Caenorhabditis elegans: one gene and its partners. The protein of the gene in region 2 interacts with the protein of the main gene of each other region in a pairwise test. Each region holds a gene or a part of one and is shown on either strand. Other genes may lie near its edges.

Region 1 (6,463 bases), 1.7 Mb from region 2:
ACTAGCCGGAAATGTTTAGAGGGATTTTTTATAAGACGGAAACACTTAAAACTGTGTCTTTTTGAATTTTTTCGGTTTTTTCTACATATTTTCATAAAATTTGCTTACTTTTCAAAATAGATGTAGGAGTATGCATAGGATGCGTTTAATTTTGCCATTTGAAATTGAAATTCTGAAATTTCCAAAAAAATAATTGCGAAACCACAGTATGCCGAAAATGTTTGGCGAATTCGGCAAATCGGTAATTCGCCGGCTTGCCGATTTGTTCAATTCCGGCAATTTGCCGGAAAAAATCGTTTGAAAGCCCAAATTTTACGCATAGATAATTAAGCCCCTCTCAGAAAAATTCAAGATGAACTAATTGGTCACACAAATTAATTAAAAGCTCTTTTTTATTTTAAAATGATTAAGTTAACAATAACCTCATGAATCTGAATCTTCGAGGTATGTCTTCCTTCAAATTCGTTGGGTTTCCAATAGAAAATGTTCAATTTTTTATCACTTTCCTTTAACTTTTTCGTAATTTTTATTTGTTTTTTTTCACTTTCTTCTTCGCAGTTGCTTTTCCGCGTCCTTGTATAGTAGTCGTCAAAGCAGTCGGCGGCGTTCTATTTTTTTTTTGCTTGCTTGCTTTTGCTATGTCTCGTGTGTGCCCAATAACAACAACAACCACATATATAGCCGTCTTCTGGATATATATGTATGTGGGTGTGTGTGTGTTATGGCTTTTCTTCGAACTTTTTATTTCACTCGGAAACTTTCAAGATTTGTCTTTTCTGATGCTTTTTAGGATTCCAGGAATTTTATTCGTTCGAACTAGTAAGTATGAAGTTAGAGTTCACAGCAAATTTTCATCAAAATTCGGAAAAAAACTGGTTTTTATATCGTAGCCCTACAAAAATAGAGAAATAAAAAAATCGAAGGGTCAGATTCACCAGTGTTATTTTTCGATAATTTGTCAGAAAAATTTGGGAATTAGAAACTTTACGAAGTCTAGTGAGTTGCAAATTTTTAAGAATCAAATTTGCTAATTTTCCTTCTTATTTTCGGATCAAATTTTCATTTCATATGAAATATTTCATAAAAAACAAAAAATCAGATTTTGTAGATAGAGCCCACAATGTAAAGGAACTACAACATCTGTAGAACCGGATCTGTTAGATTTTTTCTTCGAGTTTTACAAAATTTCAGACTTCCCAAGTTTTTTGTTTGAGTTTTGGCTCAGAAATTTCGAACATAAAACTTGGAGAATCAGATTCCCGGCTTTTAGAGAAAGTTCCGATTAGGGGCACCACAAATTGAGAAAACAAACATTCTGGAGAATCAGAGTTTCGATTTTTTGTTGCCAAAAACGACATCCTTGCTCCAACTGTCAGCATGCCAAACAACAGACACCCCTGTTGAAAATTTTAAATTCCAAATGAAACGGGGATGGGGTACATCGTAGTAATAGTAGTAGTTGGTTCTTAGGGGAGCACATCTCTGCTTCTTCTTCTTCGCAGCTTTTCGGTCTTCTGCGTCCGTTTGAGTGGTCAGTCAGATGTATGAGAGTGCGTTCCGTATCTCTCTGCGTCTCCACACCCTTGACCACTCTCTACGCCGTCGTGCTCTCTGTGTCTCGCCCGACTATCTCGAATAGAAAGTGACCACTGCTACATAATATTCGAATTCGCGGGGGGGGGGGGGTCTGTCTACTGCTGCTGCTGCTGGGTGGCCGTTTTCCTTGCCACACACTCTCTCGTCTCTCTTGCTCTTTGTGCATCTCATAGTTTGCTACTCGCGATCAGCTGTAGTCAACGTTCTCATATATACAGTATGCTTTTTGTTGAAAGTTTTGCCATATTGCCACGGCAAATTTTTTGGTACTTTAGTGGTTTTTTATTTCAAATCACCACGAACTTTTATAATTTTCCTCGATATTTGCATTTCCTCATTTTTTGCCAATGAAATTGTAAATTTTTCGCATTATTCTGTATGCTAGCACTTGTTTTCCAGCTTTACTTTACTCCCTTGTCCTCTCCCCGCCCCCAAAAGTACCAGAATAAGGTGTTTCCAAATTAGTTGTCCTTATCTTTCGAGGAGCCTCGTTTTAGAAAATGTGTACTTTTCTGCTCAATTCCCGGACACTTTTTCCGGGAATTCAGAAAAAGTCTGAACCACTACTAATTCTAATGTGATATTCTGAAGTTAGTCTTCATAATGATATATGCTAGCAATTTATATAACTAATTTTTCACATGGCGCACACATATCCTCATATCAGAACATATCAGAAGTTCTTGTTATTTTCCCGTTCCCCAAAAGTAACAGAGTAATAAAAAATTTCGAAATCCCGAGGGACGGTCCTTGGGGAGGTCGGGGTCATCACCCTCAACGTACATGGTACCGGGGGCCTGGTGGCGACAGGTAGTGAGGTCTCTCTTCTCAGTCCTGTTAGCACACACACAGTGGAGGGGTGCGTGCGCGCTCGCTCACTCGCCTACAGATCCGAGATGAATCGTAGACGCGTATTGAGGAAGACGGTGTTGGGTGGTGATGGTGTCGTGGGGAAGGGGGAAGGATGCGTACTATCTCTATATTTCTCGAGAACAAGAAGAAGATGATGACGATTCACTTTCCTTCTACTCGTCTCAGAAAGACACGGAGGACGAATTCTGCGGGTGCCTTTTCCCCGAGTAAATTTTCACATGTTTACAAAAAATGTTCATTATGAGCCTCTGTATTGCTTAAATTTGTCAATCATAAAATATTTTAAATAGGCAGTTCTCCTGAAAATAATACATTGAAAAATTTCGTTATTAAACCATTTTTGGTTTTTTTGTTGGAAATTTTTTTGTTGGCTTGATAAATTTGGCACAATTTCGTTTTCCGAGAGGAGAACAACTTTTATTTCCTTCTTCATCTATTTCCTCCTTTTTTTCAGAATTCTCTAGAAAAAAAACAAAAAAAAAAGAAGGCGTCCTCTCTCGTCATGAATGAATAACACTAGTTCCGCCTCACTTTTTCATGTTCTTTTTTCTTCTTTCTTTTTTCTTTCTTTTTTTCAAGTCCAGAAATTCCAGGATCAAGCAGTTCATCCGGCTGTAGTTCGTCATCTACAGAGCTCTACGATCTTGCAGCTGCACACGCCGCACTTATATCCCGACAGCAACAGATTCTCAGTCAGGGTGTGTTTTTGTGGAAAAATTAAAACAAATTGAGTTTTACATGTCCGGAAATGTGTGTCTCGCCACGAACTTTGTGGAATTCGTTGGGAGACCCTATTGTTTTTTTTAATAAGCTAAGAAATTGAGATTTTCGCTCATTCATGTGAAAAAAATAACGCTCGCTAATCTTTGTATTAGAATTAGAGTTGATTTGCTTTTATAATCCAGTTCAATTTGTCTACAAATTTTCTTTTTAAACAATTAAACTAGTTTGGAAAATGGATAATTAATTTTTAAACCTAACCGTTGAATTATTGATCGAAAAATGAAAATTAATTAAAAGTACTGTAAACTTTAAAGGAGCATACCTTTAGTTTCGTACTGGGTTCCACCACGATTCGAGAAATCATACATTTTATAATATTTTCTCGATTTTCGTGCCTAAGATATCTTTTTTTAATATTTAATTGAAACAAATTTTTTATTTTAAAATGTTCATTCTAACCGAAATTTCCAAACCCCATTGTTTGCTCCCGAAACACGAATTTTCAAATAGTTCAGTACTGTAAGATTTAAAGGCGCCCAAACTGTCTCTTGCAGTAGGTCTCGTCACGATCGGAGAAATTCTAAAAAAGTTTTTGTTTTTTCGTTTCGAATTTTTGTTTTTCTGCTCAATTTCTTCGCTTTGTTAGCTAAAAAATGTGTAAAATTTATCATTAAAAAAAACAAAGTTTCAACAATTTTCAGTACCTCTTCATATAATTCACATGAAATTGTCTAATTTTTAGCCAATTTCAGAGGATTTTCCGAAAAACTCAATAATTAATCAAGAATTGTTTCAGCAATCCCAATAATACCGGAACACCAGCTGGCCGCCGTCGCCGCTCACCATCAACATCACCAGCAGCTTCACCCATCGGTACAGTACCAGCTCGTCGCTGCCGCCACCCATCACAATCATCATCAGCCGCAAGCGGCACAACCACACTATTCAGCAGTTGTGCCACGATCTGACGGTTTGTTAAATAATGTTTTAAACGTTGAAAATTGTTTTTTTTTTCAATAAAAAAGTAATGTTTTTTTTAATTTTTCAGTAATACAACAACCACCACACTTTGCTCTGCACCACCATCTTCAGAATTTGGTTCAACAGCAGCAGCAACAGCAGGCTCACCATCATCATCAGCAATTAGTTGGTGAGTCGACCGATTTTTTTTCACGAAAACAAAAAATTAAAAAATAATTACCGAAAATCCGGAAAAAAACATTAAAAAATGAACGGAACAATTTCCCTTTTTTTAAAAGTTAACTTATGAAATTTTTGAAAGATAAAAAAAAATATTGGGAAAAATTTTCAAGCCTCAAAAATCTGGTTTTTAAAACTAAAAACTAATTTTAACAATAGTTTCAAATTTTTCTGTAAAAACCAAAATTCCCAACAAAATTTTTTTGAATCATGATATTTGTAAAAATCTATTTTCTTGATTTGTTAACAAACTTTCGAACCATTTCCCTTTTTGTTTACTTTTTAATATCTCAAAGTTCACGTGTAGTTCTGTTAGCCGGTCTTTACAAATTTAATCAGTTGCTGCCTGTCAAAGTGCACAAGTCCTTCTACTACTTTATTTTCCATCTCCTCTACCGTAATGTCCTTGTCTCCCCTGAATGACCTACAAAGAACACACTCCGCTCTTTCTAGAAAAGACTGCTTTCTCTGTTAAAGCACATGTTTTTTGTTGTTGTTACTCTCCGTCATCAGCTTCGGGGTGTTTTTTTTATTCTGGAATTCTTAGAATTTTCTCAGTTCACCGTGACTCACTTCTCAGAACTACTACGATTTTCTAACAGAAATCTGAAAGACATTTATTGCGAAATATGATGACTAAAAAAGAGATCAAGTTCGGCTTTTTTGAGCCATTTTTTCCGAATAAACCCGTTTTTTTTAATGTTCTGAATTTTCTATCATTTCCAAAAAAAAATATTGTGAAAAAAATTTTTATGATGCTCTTACTCTTTGCCATTTAAATTGGAACACTAATTGTCAATTTTTCAGACATTTTTCCGCGTAGAAATAAAAATTGGCCTATAAATTGTTCGTTTAACAATTAATTACTTGATAGAAAAACGATTCTTCCTTTTAATTTTTTTTTGAATAACGGAAAATTATATATAAAAAATGCCTATTTTCTTTTCTGAAATTTAGTATGAAAACCAGTTAAACACTACTTAGTTAATCTTTATTCGATATATCTTTATCAATCTGAAATTCACTAACGATTCATTTATGACGCTCAAACATGTGAACTCCGTTGATCACATACACACAAATTCACGTTATGACGAACATAACACTAGATATGTCGAAAAACGCATATACACAGATTATATTGCTAGTGACGCAATTTTTGAGTGAAATGGAAAAAAGGGAGATAATGGCAACAGCGAATACGTAAAGGTGGAATTAATTAGATTTCAGCTCAGATCTAGAAATAAGTAGAGAGTATGTGCTTAGACTACATTTTGTGCTCCTTTGGACTATATTAATTCCGCTAAAATGGAATGTCCTACATTTTTAGTTTTTCGTCCTATTCATTTTTAAATTGATTTAGTCTATTTTTCTTTAATATTCCCCGACTTGGCCTAAAAAAGTTCTTCACAAGATTTCTCGCTCCACCTAGTGAGCTAGACTTCTCCCGTTCTTTTTCGTCAAATATATTTTCTGATCTCTACACACTCAAAATGGTCCGAATTTAAATTTTATCTACTTCTAGACACTTGTTTTTCGATATTTTGAACGGATATGTCTTTAATAGGTGTAATTTTGTTTTTTAATCTTTTTGGGAAAAAAATCCAATTAAGCTTTTCGATCTCTCCAAGGCGCACCACATTGAGAATATCCTGTCTGACTCAGAATCCCCCAGTGCTCTGAACTTGCACTCCAAATCCAAAAAAGGTCATTTCTTAGACGTGGTTCACTCATTTATTCGTTCCTAAAAAAGGGAGGCTGTCTGTGTCACGCTGCGTCTCTCCTATTCTGCCCAGTCTTGTGTCTGCGTCTCACTTCTTCATCGGTGTTAGTTGGTTGGTGTGTGTGTGTGTGTCTGTGTGAGAGGAACTGCCTGGCATTCAAGGTTAGCCCCCCACAGACCCGCCCCGCTCACTTGGCCCAACACCATTGCCCCCCTTCCCGCCATTCTACTACACATTTGAATTTTTGTGCGGACCACCCGTTTTGTTCAGTCACTCTTGCTAATTTCTTCGTGTATTTACTTTAATTTATCAACTGTTCATATTTATATATATATATAGATTCAAAA
Region 2 (8,721 bases):
CGGCAACTTGACAATTTTCGGGAAAGTTCAATTCCGGCAATTTGCCAGAAATTTCAATTTCGCCCTTTTCCCGATTTGCCGGAAATTTAAATTTCGCCATTTTGCCGATTTGCCGGAAATTTCAATTTCGCCATTTTGCCGATTTGCCGGAAATTTAAATTTCGCCATTTTGCCGATTTGCCGGAAATTTAAATTTCGCCCTTTTCCCGATTTGCCGGAAATTTCAATTCCGGAAATTTACAGATTTGCCGGAAATTTCAACATCGGCAACTTGACAATTTTCGGGAAAGTTCAATTTCGCCCTTTTCCCGATTTGCCGGAAATTTCAATTTCGCCATTTTGCCGATTTGCCGGAAATTTCAATTTCGCCATTTTGCCGATTTGCCGGAAATTTCAATTCCGGCAATTTACAGATTTGCCGGAAATTTCAACATCGGCAACTTGACAATTTTCGGGAAAGTTCAATTTCGCCCTTTTCCCGATTTGCCGGAAATTTCAATTTCGCCATTTTGCCGATTTGCCGGAAATTTCAATTTCGCCATTTTGCCGATTTGCCGGAAATTTCAATTCCGGCAATTTACAGATTTGCCGGAAATTTCAACATCGGCAACTTGACAATTTTCGGGAAAGTTCAATTCCGGCAATTTGCCAGAAATTTCAATTTCGCCCTTTTCCCGATTTGCCGGAAATTTCAATATCGCCATTTTGCCGATTTGCCGGAAATTTCAATTTCGCCATTTTGCCGATTTGCCAAAATATCGAAAATGACGTCACTCATTTGCGCGGGAATTCAAATGTTTCAAATTTAATTCGGTCGTTTCTATGAATTTTGAAATATGTAAAAATTCACTAAAAGTTTAGGACATTTTTGAAAAAATTTTCACAGTCATATTTGGTCATATATTCTAGGCGTATATTCTGTAATTTAAAGCGAAAAATTGTTTAAAAATTTTTCAGTATCAATAATCAAATTCATTCTAATCAATCGATGTTACGTCTATGCAAAACGAATCGAGAATGGGATGCTGGTTAGACAGTCGGATTTAACAAATGTGATGAAGTTTTGAAAGTTCCTTGGAAACACGTGGTGCCAGGCTGTCCCACCACGGTTTGATCTACAAAAAATGCGGCAATTTTTTGCCAAAAAAAGTGTGACGTCAGCACGTTCTTAACCATGCGAAATCAGTTGAGAACTCTGCCGCATTTTTTGTAGATCTACGTAGATCAAACCAACATGGGACACTCTGACACCACACGTTCTGAAATAAATACTTTTTTTTTCTTGATTTGCAAATACAAATTCAACAGCGAATAATTTTATTTACAAACCTGCACGCGTAAAAGATGGGATGATGATGATGATGGAAAATAATCGGGGGAGGACGAATTGTATAACAATTATTACATTCGAAAATTATTTTTTTTTAGCTCAGCTCAAAATTAAAATTCTCAAACAATCAGTGGTTTCAATGGTTTCTGAGTGGTTGCTGCTGTCTCAGCCCCTGCTGCCTCGAGAGCCTCACGTGGTGGATTGTTCTCGAAGAATTTGAGAACAGCTGCGAATGGATCCAACTCCTTCTCATGATTATCTTCAGATGATGTATGTTCAGCATCTTCTTCAGATTCCATTGGTTCAGGTGTTGTGGTGCGTTCTTCGATTCTTGGGAAGCTGTCCTCAATCACAATTGCTCCCTTTCCTTCGAGTTCTGGCTCTTCGGTGGTTGATGGGGTGGCTGAGTTGAGCTCTTTGTTGGCCGCCTGGAATATTACTCATTATGCCTCAGTGAGCACAAAACAGGGGTGGGCCGGAAATTGCCGTTCGGCAAATTTGGCAAATTGCCGGTTTGTCAATTTGCCGGAAATTTTGATTTTCGGAAAATTGCTGATTTGCCGTTTACCGAACATCAATTTGCCGGAAATTTTTAGAGAAATTTTTTATAAGACGGAAACACTTGCCTTTTTGAAATTCAAATTTTTGCCGGTTTGCCGATTTGCCAGAAATTTTAATTCCGGCAAATTGTGGTTTTGCACTTTTTTTTGGCAATTTCAGAACTTCAGAATTACAATATTAGTCGGCAAAATTGTACCGTGCCGACTATATATAAATAAACAATCTTTCTAAACACTTCCGGCAAATTGATATCCGGCAACTCGGCAAACCGGCAGAGAGCCGGAATTGAAATTTTCGGCAAATAGGTGAATTGCCCGAATTAAAACTTTTGGCAAATCGGCAAACTGCTGGAACCAGATCCGCAAATTGCCTGAACTTAAATTTTTGACAAATTGCCGAAATAGAAAATTTCCTGCAAATCGGCAAACTGGCAAAGTGCCGAAAATGAAAATTTCCGGAAAATTGGCAAACTGCCGGTATTGTAATTTCCGGTCAATCGGAAAATCGACAGATTGCCGGAACTCAAACTTCCGGCAAATTGGCAAATTGCCGGAATTGAAAATTTTCGGCAAATTGGCAAACCGGCAAGTTGCCGAAATAGAAAATTTCCTGCAAATCGGCAAACTGGCAAAGTGCCGAAAATGAAAATTTCCGGCAAATCGGCAAAATTTCCGGCAAATCGGCAGCAAATTGGTAAACCGGCGATTCGCCGATTTGCCGATTTGCCGAACCAACATGTTCCTGATGTACAAACCTCTGAATTCTTTTGCTCATCGAAAGCTGAGAAGATATCTCTGAGAATAGTATCAGAAACCTCAGCGGCATCCTCTGGCATTGGTGTGCTGCTCGTGACAACTGCTGGGAATGCAGTGTTGATGGGTGAAGCTGTGACGTCAGCAGTTCCAGATGCAGCTTCTGGAGCTGGAGTTGGAGTGATTGCTGTCCCTGATACAAGATTAATTGAAATTTTTGGGCTTTTTGCAAAAAAAACAACTAACAGATTTGACGAGTTGGTGCGTTGACTGGAATGTTCTGCGACTTCTTCTGAAGTTCCTCGTAGATCTTATCGTGAACTGATGGTTGTGGGATTGGTTGGAAGAATTGTGGAGCCTGTGGGAAACGGTCCTCAGGTTGTTGGGTCTGTTGTGGTTGCTGCTGATGCTGCTGTTGTTGTTGGGATGGGAAGAAGAATTGTTGGGGTGGTTGCTGGAATTTTTTTGATGGTTTTTTGACAAAAAAAATAGTGAAAATTTTTATCGGTTTCAGATCCCGAAAACTAAGCAAAAAACAGAGGTGGGCGGCAAACGATTTTTTTCGGCAAGCCGGCGAATTGCCGGAATTCACAATCTCTGGCTTATCGGCAAGTTGCCGGAATTAAGATTTTCCGGCACACCGGCGAAGTGCCGGAACTGAAATTTCCGGCAAGTCGACAAACTGCCGGAATTGAAAATTTCAGGCAAATCGGCAAATTGCAGGAATTGATAACTTCCGGCACATCAGCAAATTGCCGATATTAAAAATTTCCGGCAAATCGACAAACTGCCGGAATTGATAATTTCAGGCAAATTGCCGGAATTAAAAATTTCATGCAAATTGACAAATTTCCGGAATTGAAAATTTCCGGCAAATCGACAAACTGCCGGAATGGAAAATTTCCGGCAAACCGGCGAACTGCCGGAATTCATAATTTCAGGCAAATCTAAAAATTGCCGGAATTGAACATTTCCGGCAAATCGGCAAATTGCCAAAATTTACAATTTCCGGCAAATCTGCAAAATGCCGGAATTGATAATTTCAGGCAAATCGGAAAACTGTCGGAATTGAAAATTTCAGGCGAATCGGCAAATTACCGGAATTGGAAATTCCCGGAAAACCGACAAGTTGCCGGAATCAAAAGTTTCCGGCAAATCGGCTAACCGGCAAATTGCCGATTTTCAGTTGCCAATTTACTCAAAAAAAATTTGCCGAACTGCAATTGCCGCCCACCCCTGATCCAAATACGACGAAAAATTTTCGAAGTTTTTTGAAAAAAATTATGAAAAAAAAAAGCAAAAATTCAAATTTTTCAAAATGGAAAATGTGTCTAAAATCCAAATGCCAAAAAATTCGTAGCCCATCATCTAAAAATCTACAAATCGCCTTACCTGCCAGACAGTTGGTCTCTCCCATTGTTGCTGATGCATCATTGGTCTTGGCCAGAATCTCTGTCTCTGCTGCTCCTGTGGCTGTTGCTCCTGCTGTTGCCATTGGGCCTGGGCCTGAGCCTGCTGAGTCTGAGCCTGCATCTCCAACTGATGTTGTTGCCAGAAAGCTTGAGCACGCTGCTGTTGAGCATAGGTCTGTTGAGCCTCGTACTGACGACGTTGTTCCTCTTCATAGCGGGATCTCTCGGCCCATTGCTGACGGGCGGCCTCTTCCTGCATCTGTTGCTGTTGTTGTTGCATGTAGGCCATCTTCATTTGTTGTTGTTGGTAGTAGGCGGCTTGAAGTCTTCTCATTCTCATCATTCGCATTGCCATCATTTGTTGCATGTACATACGTTCCTCCATTATTTGTTGGAATTGTTGGCGGGCCTCCATCATTCGGTATTGCTGAAAAAATTGCTTTTATTGATTTATTAGACTCAAAATTGTCTGAAAATATCGAATTTCTTAATGAAACTTCTTAAAAACCTCTTGAAAAAAAAGTTATGGCAGCTCAAAAAATGGCCTAAAATTTTTAAAGCAGTTTAGCTGGCTTGAGGCGGGTAGGCATTCCCTTCAGGCAGGCCCTGGAACCGCGCCTGTCTATGGAAGCCCTACATATGCATATATATATATATATATATATATATATATATATATATATATATATATATATATATATATATATTTATATATATATATATATACAAATCCATATTTATGTATATATATGGTATAATTTGGTAACTAACCTCAATCTCATCTGGATGAAGTGGGCGATCCAAATTGGTAGAGGACTTCTCCTCAACTGATCCATCAACAGTTGTCTTCTTTTGACCTTCATTATTCGAAATATCCTCCACTACAACTACCCGAGCCAAGGGAATTGCCATCATTCCTGGATTTTCCGCAGAGTTTATAGTCTTTTCAGATGATCCATCAATTGGTTGAGCTAGAAGTGCCTCCATTTGTGGCTTGTTCACGGATGTTTCGGTTTTCTGGAATATCAATTAATTAAGTTTAAAAAAGCTTAAAATTAAAAAAAAACCCTGTACCTTGAAGAGATCAGGAGTAGCGGCGAGGAAGTAGAAACCGATGAGTGTCACCAGCAAAAGACACGTGGCAAAGAACATGCAATGGAAGCATGCTCTCATCGCCTGGAAAGCTGGCGATGGAGCAGGCTTCATTGGTGGAGCCGGCATTGGGATCACTGTGGGCTGGAGGACTGTGAACACCTGGAATAATTCAGATTTTGTTGATATTTCTACTAACGTTATTATTATTATTGTTACCGAATATATTCTTTGTGAGAAAATTTGAATTTCGCGCCAAAAAATGTTCTCAGAAAATTTGAATTTCGCGCCAAAAATTATTCTCGGATAATTTAAATTTCGCGGCAAAATACGTTTTCTCATAAAGTTTGAATTTCGAGTCAAATGTATTTTCTCATAAAACTTTAAATTAGCGCCAAAAAAATTTCTAATAAAATTTGAACTTCGCGCCAATATACGTTTTCTCAGAAAATTTGATTTTCCAGCTAAAATTTTTTTGTGAAAAATTTTGAATTTCGAGGCAAACTGTTTTTACACGTGGTGCCGGGCTGCCCCATCACGGTTTGATCTACAAAAAATGCAGGAACTTTTTTGCCCAAAAAACATGACGTCAGCCATGTTCTTAACCATGCGAAATCAGCTGAGAAGCCTGCGTCTGAAATCCCGCATTTTTTGTAGATCTATGTAGATCAAGCCGAAATGGGACACTCTGACACTACGACTTGTTACTCATAAAATTTGTAATTCGCGCCAAAACGTGATCTCTTAAAAAAAATTCGAATTTCCAGCTGAAATTTTTTTATGAGAAAATTTGAACTTCGCACTAAAAACAGTTCTCAGAAAATTTGAATATTTTTAATAGAAACTCACTTTTGGATCGATCTTGATAGACTCCTTCTCAACGTCCTCACTCCCGTGAACGCCGGGCTGTGCGCCTAGTTTGGTCATCTGTAAATGATTCTTGATTAGATATTCGAGTAAAAGACAAAAACAAAAAAAAGAGAAGAGATCAATGCGCACAATAGGAGAATTAGAGAAGCGGCTCACTTTCTCTCGCGGAGCATTAAACATTTTTGACAGGTTGGCATTCACGACTCTTCCGCGCGGTGTAGGAAAATGAACAAAAAATGATCTCCCGATGTTTTGATAGGAAGTGACACCAAGTTTTGAAGAAACACACAAAACGAGTTTTTAAAATAGCCGGCCACTTGGTTACTGTACACTTGAGAGAGGAATGACGTCATTCGTTTTTGTTTTTGACCAGAAAATCTCGATCAGATGATGATAAAGATTTCTGTGAAAAATTTTAAAATGATAAAGGATACTTTGATTTTTGATTTCTTTTCCATTTTTTGCAGCAAGGGTTTAAGGGCAGAGTATAATATACAAAGTTTGATGGTTCAGGTAAAAATAGGTAGGATGTGTTAATTCAAATGCGGAGGGTTTATTTTTCTCTTATTATAAATATTAATGTGCCTGCATACAAGGTGGAGTACGGCCTAAAATGAACAAATATCATAGTAAAGCTATTAATATAATTTCGGAACATTTTTCATTTTGAGTTAAAAAAAAAGTTCTGATTCCAGTTTTATGCTTTAATTATTTTTGAAATATTCATACATGCTGCAGATTCTTCGAAAAAATGTCTACATTTTTTTGAAATGTTTTAGTATGATTTTTGGTATTTTTAGCGCTCTGCATGATTTTTAAAAAATGTGAGTTATAATAATTTTTTTTGTAAATTTTGTGATTTTTAGTTAGTTAAACTCATATCGAGAACTGTCTTAAAACGAAAAAATTGGTGAGAAAAAGCCCGTTTGCTCTAAAAAATATTCATTTAGAACTAGTATTGGTGGGCGGCAAACTGCCGGTTTGCTGATATTCCGGAATTTTCGATTTTCGGCAAATTTCCGATTTGCCGGAAGTTTTTAGAGGGCTTTTTTATGAGACTGATAGTGAAACACGAAATTTCGAACAAAAAAAAAATGCAAAACCACAATCTGTCCGACAATTGCCGTTTTTCTGGAAAATGCGGCAAATCGGCAATTTGCCGGTTTACCGACTTGCTGAAAATTTCAATTCCGGCAATTCGCCAATTTGGCGGAAAAATTATTTACCGCCCAACCCTGATACATGCAACACTAACAGGGAAGTATGTATATACAGAAGTTTACGATACATACCGTATTTCCTCTATTAGTTTTGCACCCGCTTGCTCAACTTTGACAGCTCATATCTCAGTAGTTCTTTGTTCCATAGAAAAGTTGTCAACTGATAAAATTTTTGTGAGATGTTTTTCTATAGTTTGTAGTTTGTTAATTATTTATATGTTCAAAACAAAATGAGATATGAGCTGTCAAAGTTGAGCAAAGGGGTGCAAAACTAAAAGAGGAAATACGGTATATTCCAAATTATTTTTGTCCTATTATAAGTTATTATCGGTTTTTAATGTGGTTGCCACAATTTTAAATATTCTCCGATCAGAATTACAGTATTCCCCTCCCCCCCCCCCCACCTACGCTTGCCTACTTATTTTATTATTTCTTATTTCTCCCCCACTCTTGTGGGGGCACTCTTGTGGGGGCAGAGTCTCCTCCACCTTACTCAATTGACCGTTTCAAATGTCTTTCATTTTTCACATGAAAGAAAATTGTTGAAGGTTACCCTTATATTTTGACAAAAACATCACCTTCAACTGGCAAAAGAACAGAGTAGAAACGGTTCCACTTTGGGGGTTCAAGGTTAGGTTTTGTCTCGTATTGGAGGAAAATAACAGAACAAAAAAAAATATTTAGATGGAATTTGAAAATGTTTAGGTTTTTTATGAAATTTTGCAATTTTCAATAGACCAACAAAAGAGTTAATACGGTATTTACTTACTTATCAAATCCTATTACTATAAGGGATGTTACTATTTGAGGAGCATAATATTTAGTTTACCGTATTAGTATTCCCCCCCCCCCCCCAATTGTTCAACTTTGACAGCTTATATCTCAGTTATAGTTAGTTCTATTTAAAAATTGTCAACTAACAAAATATTTGTTAGCTCGTTTTCTATAATTTCTTGGTTAACAATATATTGATATCATTAAAATGAACCAAGATATAACGTTTCAAAGTTAAATAGTCGGGTGCAATACTAATAGAAGAAAAACGGTAAGTTGGATGGCCAACGTTAAGCATTAAAGGGTAAGATGAAAAAGTGGTAACTAAAAAACTAGTTTCAAAAGAAAATTATTTAAAAACGTCCTTCCCCCATGAAAATAATTGAAACAAGGTAAAATTGAAAAAGAGAAGAAGAATCGAATGCGTCTCGACGCCCCGGGGGCGTCCAAAGTGAAAAAAGAAGAGGTCAGTTGGCGAAGAAAGGAAAAAGTGGGCGGAGTCTTTATCACACAGGTCTTTGGCAACGATTTTTGGAAGAGAGGGGGGGGGGGGGAAATAATACAATAATTTCAGTGAAATCTAAAGAAAACCAGTTATGAGAGGTGTTGGAGGAATTGCAATGTTCAAGGGCTCTTGGTGTTAAGGTAAATATGGTGCTTGCTCACAGAAAAAACGAGTTTATTTTATTTATTTAAAATTTTTGAAAAAG
Region 3 (4,905 bases), 3.8 Mb from region 2:
CATAGTTCGCATGTGAACTTTCCAATTCTTCTCCTAATCCCTTTTTTAGACCTTTTAGCAAACTTGCTTCTTCATTCTTTATCTTGCTTTCAGTAAACATTTGTTGACGAAGAAGATCTTCAATTATATTTCTTTCTTGTTCATTTGCCTGTTCAGAATCATTTAATGAGAAACTTGATGATCCTGAAGTTTGATCTAGTATCTCTTCAGACTCATCTAAAACTTCTTTCTTTGGAACTTTCAACGCGCTTGATGGATCCGATGGAATGTCTGATGATGTTCCGGGAATATCTAAATTTGCAGTGGGATCCCAGTCATCAAATAATCCTTTTAGAACCTGAATTAGTTTTTAATAAACCAATAAATTCCCAATTTTTCCAACTTACAGATGCTGGTCTCTTTCCTCTGCTCATCGCATCTGAATCTCGTGGCTTCAAACCCAGAGTATCGACTAAATTCAATGGTTGAGCAAATCCAAGTTCAGCGGAAATGCTTTTAAATGGTTTTTTGAGAACATTTTGTGATTGTGCAGATATAGATTCTAGACATTTTGGAGATGAAACTAGTTGTGGGGCACATGAGGTTGGTGGAGTTGCCGGTTTTTGAATTTTCTGTGCAGGAGGATGAATTGGAACTTCTGTCACCCACGAATCCGGACAACCAATCGTTTTCTTTAAATATATTTTATTTGGAGGTTTCATTAAATGCAATTTACCAAAAAGTTGACTCAAAATTTATAAACAATTTGAAATTTTAACGTGTTTTCGCTTTTCTAGGCAATTGTAGTGCCTTGGTGCTTTGATTAGTTCAGTTTGTGGAACATCAAAGTGAGTAAGTAGTTTGAGCCACTGGGGATTTTGTAAACACATTAGCTTAAAAGTACTATTCCTAATTTAGAGTTGTTTCCTACAGTAATATCATTCCAAAATTACAATTTTATAAAATACAGTATTTATGATTTTTGATCGACCATTACATAAAGAATAACCTGTCATATTATTTTTATTGCCAAAATAATTATTACTCAAGTTTTTCTAATCTCGGGAATATTTATATAATTAGAAGCTAAATGTTGCCAAAAGCTTGACCTACCAAAATAGATTGCAAATCGAGTCCTCGCATTTTGAGAACTTCCAAAGTTTGATTGTAGATGTTAACTTGAATATAAGTTGACATTTTTCAGTAAATACCAACTTGTCGAGTTGCAAAGCAGGAATGAATCAATGACACAGCTGGGCAGACCACAAAGTAAGAGACTCGAAACGCAGACGGTTCTAAGCAGCGCCGACTCACTCCTTCTTTTGCATTATATCTTGTGTCTCACTCGTGCGTTCTTGCCCTGTGTGTTTTCGCTCTCTGCATTTTTCTCTCTATTTTGTAGTTTGCGTTGGACGCCGAAATGTAGTCATGTTGTAGACTACAACATATAAGTGGAGGAATATTTATCAGATTACCGGGATGGTAAAACAATTTCAGAGGGGAAGAGGATACGAATAAGTTAAAATAAAATGAGATAGATACTGCAATAATTAATCCTCACGAAGTGGCAGGAACTTTACGACGACTGGCTTTCCGGCTTCAGCGATGACCAAGTGAATTTTGTCTCCAGTAGAGATTTCACGCTCAGCAGCACCACGGAACGAATCCTAGAAAAAATAAATGAATTAGGTTAAAATTACGAAATTCAATTATACCTTCATCAATGAGATGGCTCTGTCCAATGTGAGTTCCGGACGCTCATATCCTTCAGAGAGCGTAACGTGCCCGATTTGACAATCCAAGAATGGAATGATCATTGGTTCAGCGGCTCCACTGGCTGAGTATCCAAGACGCTCGATACATCCGATTGGGTCGTAACTGAACACGGCCCCTTTTCCGTGCTCGTCAATTCCGGCAAGAATAGCTCCAGTGTAGTATGGGAAGAACCGACGGTAATAGAGGTTGCGGGAGAGAAGTTCTGCGCAAAGATCCACAGACATGTCAGAGCGATAATCGAAGCGGTACTTGTGGAGACGAGATTGGAGAACTTTCTTCAATTGGAGGACATCTCCATAGAATCCAGAGGTGGTGAGGATGATGTTATCATTCCTGAATTAAGAATTATTATTAAAACAAAGACAAATACTGGCTTACAAAATTTGAATCTTCTCTGCGTCACGTGTAAGAATGTTGATGTCGTTTTGGGTCATTCTAGTATCACTTGCCACGATGGCAAAGTTCTCCCCAGAAATGGCACAGGTTGATCCTCCCTCCATTGAATACGGGTTCCAGCGTTGACGCTCAATTTGTCTGGAACTCATCCACTCTGGATGAGCTGCAACTTCCTTCATTGCCTGCTTGAACATTGCCATTTCATTGGTGGCGTTGGCGACAGCCGTGATTCCAGTGAAGCTTGTCATCTGAAAAAGGCGTATACTTATTTAGTTGAAACAATATAAATATTCAATATGACAAAATTCAATTAATACAGAAAACAAATGCTCGAAATTTGAGAATTCAACATAACAGGAAATGCTGACAATGAGAGACATCGTCATTTACAATGTTTAGTCCGCAGTTTTCTGCGCGTTCAAATGCACATCGCACATCGAACTATACGACACTTTGCTGAAATTTATTGAAACGCGTTTTCCTCTCTTTTTTGAATGAAAATTCATTTTTCCAAGGTATTTTTGAGGACAATTCATCGCTTTATCTACATTTCTGATTAAAATTTTTGTGATTTCTTTTTTTCAATAATTGATATTTCAGATGGCAGATTTCACAGAGCAAACTTTGCGACAGAAGTTAACAAATTTATCAAACCACCCTTCCTCAATTCAGACGACTTCTGCCTGGCTTTTGCAAAATCATAGCAATCGGGAATTGATCATTCGAGTTTGGCTAAAGGTATTTTATTCATATTGTATCATTTTTTAGTGTTGTATTTCAGACAGTAAAGAAAGAAACACACGGCTCAAAAATTGTAAATCTTCTTTATGTGGCGAATGATGTAAGCCAAAATGCGAGAAAGACTTGCCCACAATTCAAGGACGAATTTTTTCCCGCAATAGAAAGTTCTTTCAGGTATTGGCATTTTCAAACGTCTAATCTCAAAATTAATTTCAGGCATGCAATCGAGTTGAAAAATGCAAAAGAAGTGGAACATGCAATTGGTAAACTGATCAATGTATGGAAAGATCGTCAGATATTCACTCCATCACAATGCAAACGGCTTCATGAAGTTCATCAACAAGTTAAGCTATCTGGAAGCTTCCCAACACCCGCAGTTGCGAACAAGGAACATGGAAAGGTGTGTGAATTTAATAAATTCCAAAAGAATGCCAAAATGAGCTTAAGGTCGCTCAACCTAGTCAGTTCGTCGTTGAAGAAGCGAAAAAGAATGCACAAGATGTTTTGCTCAGTTTGAAGCGCCTTCAAAACCCGCCGAGCACGGAAAGAGAAATTCGCACAGAACTTTCAAAATATCCGGATAATATTTCGTGCCCAGAAAAGTTGCAGTCAGTTCGAAGTTCGCAAGAAGCACAGTCTCTGTTGGTCCAAAATGAAGAAGCTCTTCCGATGCTGGAGGAATATGTTAAAAGGTTTGATTGAAACTTTTGTGAATTGATTTTGTACATTAACTTATGCTTTCAGGCTGAAAAACGAGACAAATGAACGCGAAACTCTCGAATCGAACTTGAATATGCTTATAGAAAATGTTAGAATGAGCATTGAACATCACGAGAAATTGTGCAGAGAAGTTAAGCGTAGAGAAGATCGAATCAAGGCAGATTTGTTAGAGGTTTGAAAACTAGAAAATCAGTTTTTGCAGACTTGAATTGAATTTCAGGTTGAAAAAACATTCGAATCGTTGCCAGATTTGGCTGCTGAGATGCCAAATGCACCATTGCCAACACTTGAAGCTTTGTTCGAGAAGAGGAAAAAATAAGTATCATACTACGTCATAATTATAACTTTACGATCTCAGTAGCTTTTACTGTACCCCCATTGTTGTATAATTTTTGTTCACTTTGATCTTTTACAATCGTGATCACCATTACCACATAAGTGCTTTATACGTTTTTCTTCTGAACCACCTTAAATGAATTTATTTTTTCTAAAATTCAAGTTAGTTCTATTATCTGAAAACGGTTCTTAACCAGTGTTTATCTCTGAAAGTTTGAAATTAATTGTTTAAAAGCTGATATTTTACAGATGGGTATTCTGGAGAAAATTGCAGAAATCGAACATGAAATTTCAAGAACCCAAAAGAATAAAGCCACTGAATACCATTTGGGTCTTCTAAAAGCAAAGTTGGCAAAATATCGTCAACAATTGTTAGAACCAACAGGCAAAGGAGGTGCCAAAGGAGAAGGATTCGATGTAATGAAAAGTGGAGATGCGAGAGTTGCAATGGTTGGATTTCCTTCCGTCGGAAAATCGACTCTATTGTCCTCAATGACTTCCACTCACTCAGAAGCTGCTGGATATGAATTCACAACTCTTACGTGCATTCCTGGTGTCATCTCTTACAACGGAGCCAATATTCAATTGCTCGATCTTCCTGGAATCATTGAAGGAGCTTCTCAGGGAAAAGGAAGAGGAAGACAGGTTATCTCAGTTGCAAAAACTGCAGATTTAATTCTTATGATGCTTGATGCAGGAAAGAGTGACCAACAGAAGATGCTTTTGGAGCGAGAATTAGAAGCTGTTGGTATTCGATTAAACAAAAAGCCACCAAATATCTATGTCAAACAAAAGAAAGTTGGAGGCGTGAAATTCACAAATACTGTTCCGTTAACTCATTGTAATGAGAAATTGATTATGACAGTATTGCACGAGTACAAGATTTTCAATGCTGACGTTATTTTCCGCGAGGATTGCACGTATGTTTTTTTTTAATTATCACTGAGCAGAAGTCCC

What was found.
Region 1: the proteins of brp-1 (region 2) and lit-1 interact in a two-hybrid assay, tested with the Caenorhabditis elegans proteins (2 studies listed by BioGRID, with this or other methods).
Region 3: the proteins of brp-1 (region 2) and pbs-6 interact in a two-hybrid assay, tested with the Caenorhabditis elegans proteins (3 studies listed by BioGRID).

What each region holds. Positions count from the first base shown.
Region 1 is NC_003281.10:13,711,510-13,717,972, forward strand, and holds the start of lit-1 (Serine/threonine kinase NLK), read left to right. Parts: upstream 1-2,535; coding exon 2,536-2,675; intron 2,676-3,048; coding exon 3,049-3,167; intron 3,168-3,988; coding exon 3,989-4,162; intron 4,163-4,240; coding exon 4,241-4,342; intron 4,343-6,455; exon of another isoform or gene 6,456-6,463. UniProt on the Caenorhabditis elegans protein: Has a role in the Wnt signaling pathway controlling the asymmetry of cell divisions during embryogenesis. Operates in the AB and EMS cell lineages influencing cell specification.
Region 2 is NC_003281.10:12,017,905-12,026,625, reverse strand, and holds brp-1 (uncharacterized protein), read right to left. Parts: upstream 6,075-8,721; coding exon 5,997-6,074; intron 5,310-5,996; coding exon 5,130-5,309; intron 5,073-5,129; coding exon 4,827-5,072; intron 4,483-4,826; coding exon 4,036-4,482; intron 3,098-4,035; coding exon 2,890-3,097; intron 2,837-2,889; coding exon 2,646-2,836; intron 1,759-2,645; coding exon 1,450-1,758; 3' UTR 1,305-1,449; downstream 1-1,304. Other genes in the region: Y79H2A.12 (Serpentine Receptor, class BC (Class B-like)), read left to right, coding at 958-1,067.
Region 3 is NC_003281.10:8,241,694-8,246,598, forward strand, and holds pbs-6 (Proteasome subunit beta type-1), read right to left. Parts: upstream 2,400-4,905; coding exon 2,134-2,399; intron 2,089-2,133; coding exon 1,695-2,088; intron 1,647-1,694; coding exon 1,530-1,646; 3' UTR 1,429-1,529; downstream 1-1,428. Other genes in the region: Putative zinc finger protein C02F5.12, read right to left, coding at 1-337, 387-671, 1,093-1,176; cids-1 (CID domain-containing protein 1), read left to right, coding at 2,752-2,889, 2,933-3,066, 3,109-3,292, 3,340-3,584, 3,637-3,784, 3,833-3,931; putative GTP-binding protein C02F5.3, read left to right, coding at 4,198-4,868. UniProt on the Caenorhabditis elegans protein: Non-catalytic component of the proteasome, a multicatalytic proteinase complex which is characterized by its ability to cleave peptides with Arg, Phe, Tyr, Leu, and Glu adjacent to the leaving group at neutral or slightly basic pH.